Macaca mulatta: one gene and its partner. The protein of the gene in region 1 interacts with the protein of each later gene in a pairwise test. Links are inferred from orthologs where the notes say so. Each region holds a gene or a part of one and is shown on either strand. Other genes may lie near its edges.

Region 1 (4,359 bases):
GAGAAGGAAAGAAGATAGAACTCTATGCCCTGCAAGCTACTGCTAGAAAACTAACACTTCTGTCTTCCCTCAGGACTCTCCTAGGCCCTTTCACCACTTCTCACCTCTCACCCACATTCTGCACTCCCAGCTAAAGCAGCCAAAGGACTAGTTGATTTGGCAGAGCTTTCAGGCACAAAGCCCTATACTCCCTCTGGCCCAAAGCCACTACTCTGAAGGCTGAAAACTGCCCTTTGGCTCAGGTTGCTGTCCAGTCACAGCCTCACAGATGATTTGTGCCGAACCTTGAGGTGAGGGCAGAGGCCACTTCTTTAAATACTTTGTCCTCTCTACTGCCTTACATTTGAAAAGCCCAGGGTGGATCAATAAGTATTAAATGTATAGCATATTACTCCTTTGAAGCCTCCCCGCTTGACTCCTCCCTTTCCTGCCTTCTCATTCCCTACTTTATTGCATCACAGATATGTAATTTATTACCAAGGATCTTTCATAATTCCCCACTCCCATCTCTTTCTTCTCTTGCCCACAGTGTGTGACTTAGAAGAGTCAACAATACATGTAATTCCACCAGCAACAAAGAAAATACGTTTTGTTTTCCTATTGTCCATTTTCACAAAGAGGCCCTTCTTAGTTAATCTGAAAGCTATGGCTTACACCATAGTCCTCCATCATATCTGAAGCCAGGAACTAGAACTTGGGCTTGTGCTTGAGTCCTGGCTAAAGAAGGGTTGAGTGGTGCTAGTTCTTGGTTGTCTTGCTATTGATTAGTGATAGAATCTTAGTCAACACTGTCGCTTATCCAGACTTAGGGGAACAAAAATCTACTTGGCTCTCCCACTTTTCATTCTGGTAGCATCTTAGGCCAGGTAAAGTTCAATAAATTTTTTTGAACTCTAAGAAGTGGAAAATCCTCCCTCAAAGGCTATATTGTCAAAAACAACTCCCGGCTCTGTTGCTTCTTCACTGGGGGCAATTTATCTCCATAATCAAAGACGAATACATTCAGATGAACTCTTCTGTGTGGGTTTAAATTTTACTGTTCAACATTCACTCTTGCTAGTAAATAAGAAAAGATGAGAGAAATGGATTGAGAACTGTCCCACAAGACCCTCTACAGAAAAGGAGCCAAAAGATTGCAGAGGTATATAGAACTTTAGAGCTTTTGAGTTTAACGATGTGTATATCTATACCTTCTTTCTGGAAAGCAGACTTTTGTGAATTGAGGGCAGGAACATTATAGAACTGATGCTTCATGGCTCTGGAATACTAAGTCCTCTGAGCCTGGATCTCCTTCAGCTCTGCCACCTACCTCCTTGTTTGCTAAATGTCCTTAGAGAAGTTAGGATATGCCCGGGGAACCCTGGGTCAGATAACCATGACAACTGCTGACCCTGCTTTCTTCCTCTCTGCCCTCCTCTAGCTGGGAGGCGTTAGTAGCATTGCCCAAGACTCCCAGGAGTGGTAGGAATTGTTTCTGCCTGAGGAGACGCTCTGCAGCCTGGGCTCTGTGAGACTGACGTGGCGGTCAGCTGGAGTGAGTGTTGGGGTCCTGGGGCACCTGCCTTACATGGCTTGTTTATGAACATTAAAGGGAAGAAGTTGAAGGTAAGGGCCTCTTGGGAATTTTGCTTGGGATGAAAAGCTCTGCAGGGAAACTACTGAGGGAGAGATTCTGGTATAGATACTCTATACCAGAAGTATAGAATAGCTATTCTGGGGCTACTGTCTTTTCCAGAACACAGATATGTTTGCTTAGAAATAGAAGAATTGGGTAGGAACAGTGGATCATGCCTTTAATCCCAGCACTGCAGGTGGCCGAGGCAGGTGGATCACTTGAGCCCAGGAGTTCAAGAACAACCTGGGCAACATAGTGGGATCCTGTCTCTACAAAAAAAGAAAAAAATTAGCCCTGCATAATGGTACATGCCTGTAGTCCCAGCTACTTGGGAGGCTGAGGTGGGACGGTACCTTGATCCCAGGAGATCAAGGCTACAGTGAGCCATGATTGTGTCACCACATTCCATCCTGGGCAACAGATTGAGACCCTGTCTCAAAAAAAAAAGATAGGGAGAGGGGGAGAGGGACAGACACAGAGAGAGAGAGAGTGAGAGAGAGAGAGAGAGAGAGAAATAGAGGAATTAACCCAGAGCCTTTTCAAAGATGAAACCTGAAACTTGCGTATTTATTTTTTTAGAGATGGGGGTCTCACTATATTGCCCAGGCTGATCTCAAACTCCTGGGCTCAAGCAATTCTCCCATGTTAGCCTTAGTAGCTGGGATTACAGGTGCTTGCCAATGCACCCAGCTTGAAACTTGTTGTTTTAGTTTCTTTTGGACCCTCATTAAAGAGCCTTAAGACTTTAGCTAAAACTTTTTATCTCTTATGGCTGCCTGCATTTTTTATTTCCTAACCTGAACTCTTTTTTTTTTTTTGAAACGGAGTTTTGTTCTTGTCGCCCAGGCTGGAATACAGTGGCATGATCTCAGCTCACTGCAACCTCCGCCTCCCGGGCTCAAGTGATTCTCCTGCCTCAGCCTCCCAAGTAGCTGGATTACAGACACCCACCACCATGCCTGGCTAATTTTTGTATTTTTAGTAGAGACAAGAGTTTCACCATGTTGCCCAGGCTGGTCTCGAACTCCTGACCTCAGGTGATCTACCCGCCTTGGCCTCCCAAAGTGCTGGGATTACAGGCCTGAGCCACTGCGCCTGGCCTCCTAACCTGAACTCTTATAAAAAACGTTATTCTTGGCTTGGCCAAGGTGGGCAGATCACTTGAGGTCAGGAGTTCGAGACCAGCCTGGCCAACATGATGAAACCCCATCTCTACTAAAAATACAAAAATTAGCCGGTATGGTGGCTCATGCCTGTAATCCCAGCACTTTGGGAGGCCGAGGTGGGCGGATCATGAGGTCAGGAGATCGAGACCATCCTGGGTAACACGGTGAAACCCCGTCTCTACTAAAAAAAAAAAAAATTAGCCGGGCGTGGTGGCGGGCGCTTGTAGTCCCAGCTACTTGGGAGGCTGAGGCAGGAGAATGGTGTGAACCCGGGAAGCAGAGCTTGCAGTGAGCAGAGATCATGCCACTGCACTCCAACCTGCGCAACAGTGTGAGACTCCATCTCAAAAGAAAAAAAAACCCGTCTCTACTAAAAATACAAAAAATAAAAATAAAATAAAATTAGCTGGGCGTGGTGGTGGGCGCCTGTAATCCCAGCTACTGGGGAGGCTGAGGCAGGAGAATCCCTTGAACCCGGGAGGCAGAGATTGCAGTGAGCTGAGATTGTGCAACTACATTCCAGCCTGGGCGACAGAGCAAGGCTCCATTTCAAAGAAAGAAAGAAAGAAAGAAAGAAACATCAGTCTTGACAAGTAAGCTACGGAGCAACTCATTCCTATGGGACCCTAAGGAGTGGGGCTATTGTGTGTGACATTCACCCTCCAACCTAATGCCTTCCGTTCAGGGCAAATGGACCCCCAGGCAGCCTGGGCCTAGTTGGTGGCCATGAGAAGTAGGGAAGTGACCCAGTGGAGCTCAAGCCTGAGGGCTTCTGATGGGACCTGGGACTCTGTTTTGCAGCTTGAAGAGCTAGGATGGCAGTCAACAAAGGCCCCACCTTGCTGGATGGAGACCTCCCTGTAAGTAACTTGGGCTCATCTGTGACAGGGGATGGACAACTGAGGGAGGAGGAAGAAGCAGGGAGGGAAGATGCAGGGGACTTAGAGCAAGATATGCCCAGATTATAATCCTAGTTCATTGACTACCATGGCTTAGTTATTCTTGCCCTCACCACCTTTTGTAGAGGGCAGTTGGAGGATCTGGGAGAGGAAAAAAGACGCTTATTAAAAACCAAGCACCTTGGAAAAAAGGGACAGAAATCCTGGCTTAGGGACAGTGGGGAGTGGAGAGGAAGGGAATGACTATGTTTAAACCCTGACGCAGAAGCCCATGCTCTGTCCGCCGCCCAGCTGGATGTGTATTCAGTGCAGAGCCACTGCATTCTTTGTCTCCAGCATCATTCATATGGCAAATGGCACCTCCCGGAGTCAGACGGTGCACAGCCTGTGCTGCTGTGTCAGGGGAAGGGTGGGATATTCCCTGTGTCTGGTGTTCTATCTCTGACCTGGTTTTCACTGTGATTCGAAGTGGTTTGATACTTTTAGGAATGCTTGATGGCTCCTGGCAAGGCATCTCAGATTTGCACACAGTTCAGATAGTGAAACTTAAAAATTGTGGACCTGTACAATATCTACCTTGCCCAAGTTAGGCTTATACTAACTCTTGCACTAGGAATCACTTTGTTTTGTATTGAATAATAGAAGAGAGAGGCGTAAAATGGTCAAGTACATAGTGAAG
Region 2 (3,812 bases), on another chromosome or scaffold:
GGTAGATAGACGTGTTCTTTTTCAACAGTTCTAGAATCCCAAACTAAGGAGTGTTTTCAGTCCACATTACGTTATCCTCATGTTTATGAAAAGTTAATTTAAAGTACTTTTGAACCCACTTTAAGTCCTTAACTTCACTTAAATTTTTAGGATGGTTGATTCATAGGAGATAACTATTGTTGGTATCTGAGGCTATTTTATAAGAATGTGATATTGGGCCGGGCGCAGTGACTCACGCCTATAATCCCAGCACTTTGGGAGGCCGAGGCGGGCGGATCACGAGGTCAGGAGATCGAGACCATCCTGGCTAACACGGTGAAACCCCGTCTCTACTAAAAATACAAAAAATTAGCCAGGCGTGGTGGTGGGCACCTGTCGTCCCAGCTACTCAGGAGGCTGAGGCAGGAGAATGGCATGAACCTGGGAGGCAGAGGTTGCAGTGAGCCGAGATCGCGCCACTGCACTCCAGCCTGGGTAACAGAGCGAGACTCTGTCTCAAAATAAAATAAGATAAAATAAAAATAAATAAATAAAAAAGAATGAGATATTGATCTTTGGCCATTTTTGCAGTGTCAGCCGTGATATAAATGGAACCATTGGATTTTTCTGAGTAGCCAGTGATCTACATCATCTCCCAGATTGTAACTTAAATAACAAATGCCCTTTTTTCTTTTATGAACACACAGTTGTGTACTCTATACATCTTTTATTATCCACATTTAGATATATTAAAAATAAAGCCCTCTTTCTACCATACACCGCTTAGATCCTACTGAATCTCGAAAGTTTACACAGGATAAGAGCGTAATACGACCTGTTCCGCCATTAGTCTTTAACGTGAAGATTTTTGAAGGTGGTTCATTCTACCTTTGTTTTATAAATCATGCTAGCTCTTTATAGACTTAGGGTGATTTTACCAAATGAACTTAAATCTGTTCTTTCCCCCAACAGGGTTAATCATCTCATTTTAGTGGAACCTTGGGGCTTCCCTGAACGACCAGACCTTGCTGATCAAGACAGACCAATTCCAGTTTGGATCAGAGCCTTGGGAGCAGCATTGACTCCCTTTAACCCTTTAGCTGGCCTAAGGATTGCAGGACCCTTTGGTGAGTGCTTATGTTCTAGGAAAGCAAGATGTTTGTAGATTATCAGAAGAGAATTCACTATTGTTAGTCAAAATGTTAAAAAAAATCCTCAACCCTTACTTTTTCTCCTCTTCCTCTAATAAGCACCATGTCTTGCACAAAGATGAATGCAACTAGGCTCTTCTCCTCAAAGGGGACTCTTTATGTTGTAAACATTACAAATAATTAGCAAAGCAGAAAAGGAGGGAAATGCTGGGGATGAGGTTAGTTAGTCCTCAACACTCTAAAAAAAGCCAGACAAGCAGAGTGTTTTGGGGAGGATATAAGGACCTCTGCTAGTCCAGGGCCTGGGAGAAGTGTAGCATGTTGCCCTGTTGGCGAGCATTGGAGAACATTTGGCCAATTGATGATACCATTTGGTAGATCATAAAACCTGATTTGATTTACCCTGGGGGGGATAACAGGTACCACCACACTCACAGATTCTTCCCTTATCTATGTCAGAATGTTGGATAGATAAAGTTATTTTTTCCACAACATTTTAGGGACTCCTGATGTATATTTCTGGTCATATTTTGAGGCACCAATGTTTAGTCCCTGACTGACTTTTATTTGATTCTCAGCAGTTCTGTCTCAGCCCCATAGCCATGGGAATTTCCTTCCCTCATTGTCACAGATAATGATGTTCCGAACTTCTGCCTTTCCCCTGTACAACTTGTATGAGTTTGGAGTACTTTTAGTTGTAAGTAACTGAATACCCAAGTGGCTTAAATTATAAGGCCTTTTATTATTTCCTTAATAAGCAAACTGGAGATAGGTTTTAGCACTTGTTCTGGTTGCTTGCTCATTGATGTTAGGATTTGGGTCTGTGTCTGTGATTTTCTTGACTATTTTCCTCACGGGGGTTTGATGCCTGCCATGGCATTAAGCGTCATCTCACAAATCAGCACTCTGATTTGTGAGCAAAAAGAAAGAAAAGCATGGAAAATGGTCCTTGTCTCCATAATGCTTTGTCAGGGAAGAAAGTCCTCTCTGGAAGGCTCCAGCCAACCTCCCCTTATGACTGCGCCCTCCTAGTCCTTCCACCAGCAAAGAAGAAATTTCTGTGACGGACCAATCATGATTTGTTCCCAGGGCCTGCTTTCCTGGGCGCATTGCTGCCTAATTGATACTATAGAAAAGATGTGTTCTAACCAGGTGCTGTGGCTCACACCTGTAATCCCAGCACTTTGGGAGGCTGAGGTGGGCAGATCACTTGAGGCCAGGGTTCGAGACCAGCCTGGCCAACATGACAAATCCCCGTCTCTACTAAAAATACAAAAAAACTAGCCAGGTATGGTGACACACACCTGTAATCCCAGCTACTCAGGAGAAGAGGCTGAGGCACAAGAATTACTCAAACCTGGGAGGTAGATGGAGGTTGTGGTGAGCCAAGGTTGCGCCACTGTACTCCAGCCTGGGCAACAGTGCAAGACCCTGTCAAAAAAAAAAAAGAAAGAAAGAAAGGAAAGATGGGTTCTGTTAGCAAGAAAAGAGAAGAGGCATGGGGGTATGGAGGAGGGTGTGGGATTAACTGTCATGCAGGTTACTGTAAATGCTGTTCCCTTTTGCCCACCCCTGGCCCTCCTTGCCCTAGTGCCTTCTCTTTGGATGGGGAGAGCAGTGGGACTGCAGGACTTAGAGGAGGGTATGGGGGTTGAATTGGTGACCACACTTTACTCAGTGCTCTTACAGATGGCACATTTTGCCTACCTGCAGTCTTTCAGCTCTCCCCAGTAGAGCCACTCCTCAGTATGATCCTCCTCTGGTAAACTACTTAAGAGCTTCGTTTAATCTTTATAACCCTGAAATAGAAATAGATTTTACTAGATCACAGGTACACAAATAACAATTATGGGAAAAATAAAGTATGAAGAGAAGTTAGGAGAAGTGATGGGCAAGGGAGGACACCTAGGAGAGGCTCTTTAAAGCCATGCCCTCAGCCTCCCATTATTGCTTGCACTTGGGGGTGGGAAGGTGATGTAGAATCAACTGCATGAGAGAATTTCTTGGTGGAGCTGTGTAATTCATCACAGATGGGAAGAGAGGGCCAGTAGAGAAGTAAAGCCTTGCTGGAGTTAATGGGGTAGTGGTACCAGAAAGGGAGACCAGTCAGTCTCTGGGGCCTCAGAATGGAAAAATGTGACTAGAGGAAAGCTTCTGCTCTTCATCCTCTTTCCCTTGTGGGCCTTGCCCTGGGCTTTTTCTTTTTTTCTTTTCTTTTTTTTTTTTTTTGAGACAGAGTCTTGCTCTGTCGCCCAGGCTGGAGTGCAGTGGCGCGATCTCTGCTCACTGCAAGCTCTGCCTCCTGGGTTCATTCCATTCTCCTGCCTCAGCCTCCCGAGTAGCTGGGACTACAGGCGCCTGCCACCACGCCCGGCTAATTTTTGTATTTTTAGTAGAGACAGAGTTTCACTGTGTTAGCCAGGAAGGTCTTGATCTCCTGACCTCGTGATCCGCCTGCCTCGGCCTCCCAAAGTGCTAGGATTACAGGCGTGAGCCACCGCGCCCAGCCTTTTTTTTTTTTTTTTTTTTTTTTTTTGAGACGGAGTCTCACTCTGTCACCCAGGCTAGAGTGCAGTGGCGCGATCTTGGCTCACTGCAACCTCCACCTCCCAGGTTCAAGTGATTCTCCTGCCTCAGCCTCCTGAGTAGCTGGGATTACAGGTGCACGCCCGGCTAATTTTT

Evidence for each region.
Region 2: the proteins of PLIN1 (region 1) and ABHD5 interact in a protein complementation assay, tested with the Homo sapiens proteins (3 studies listed by BioGRID, with this or other methods). The link is inferred for Macaca mulatta from reciprocal best matches to the Homo sapiens genes PLIN1 and ABHD5.

What each region holds. Positions count from the first base shown.
Region 1 is NC_133412.1:79,486,277-79,490,635, reverse strand, and holds the start of PLIN1 (perilipin-1), read left to right. Parts: upstream 1-1,420; 5' UTR 1,421-1,578; coding exon of another isoform or gene 1,579-1,605; intron 1,606-3,280; exon of another isoform or gene 3,281-3,374; intron 3,375-3,582; 5' UTR 3,583-3,596; coding exon 3,597-3,641; intron 3,642-4,359. UniProt on the Homo sapiens protein: Modulator of adipocyte lipid metabolism. Coats lipid storage droplets to protect them from breakdown by hormone-sensitive lipase (HSL). Its absence may result in leanness. Plays a role in unilocular lipid droplet formation by activating CIDEC.
Region 2 is NC_133407.1:107,021,961-107,025,772, forward strand, and holds part of ABHD5 (1-acylglycerol-3-phosphate O-acyltransferase ABHD5), read left to right. Parts: intron 1-951; coding exon 952-1,106; intron 1,107-3,812. UniProt on the Homo sapiens protein: Coenzyme A-dependent lysophosphatidic acid acyltransferase that catalyzes the transfer of an acyl group on a lysophosphatidic acid.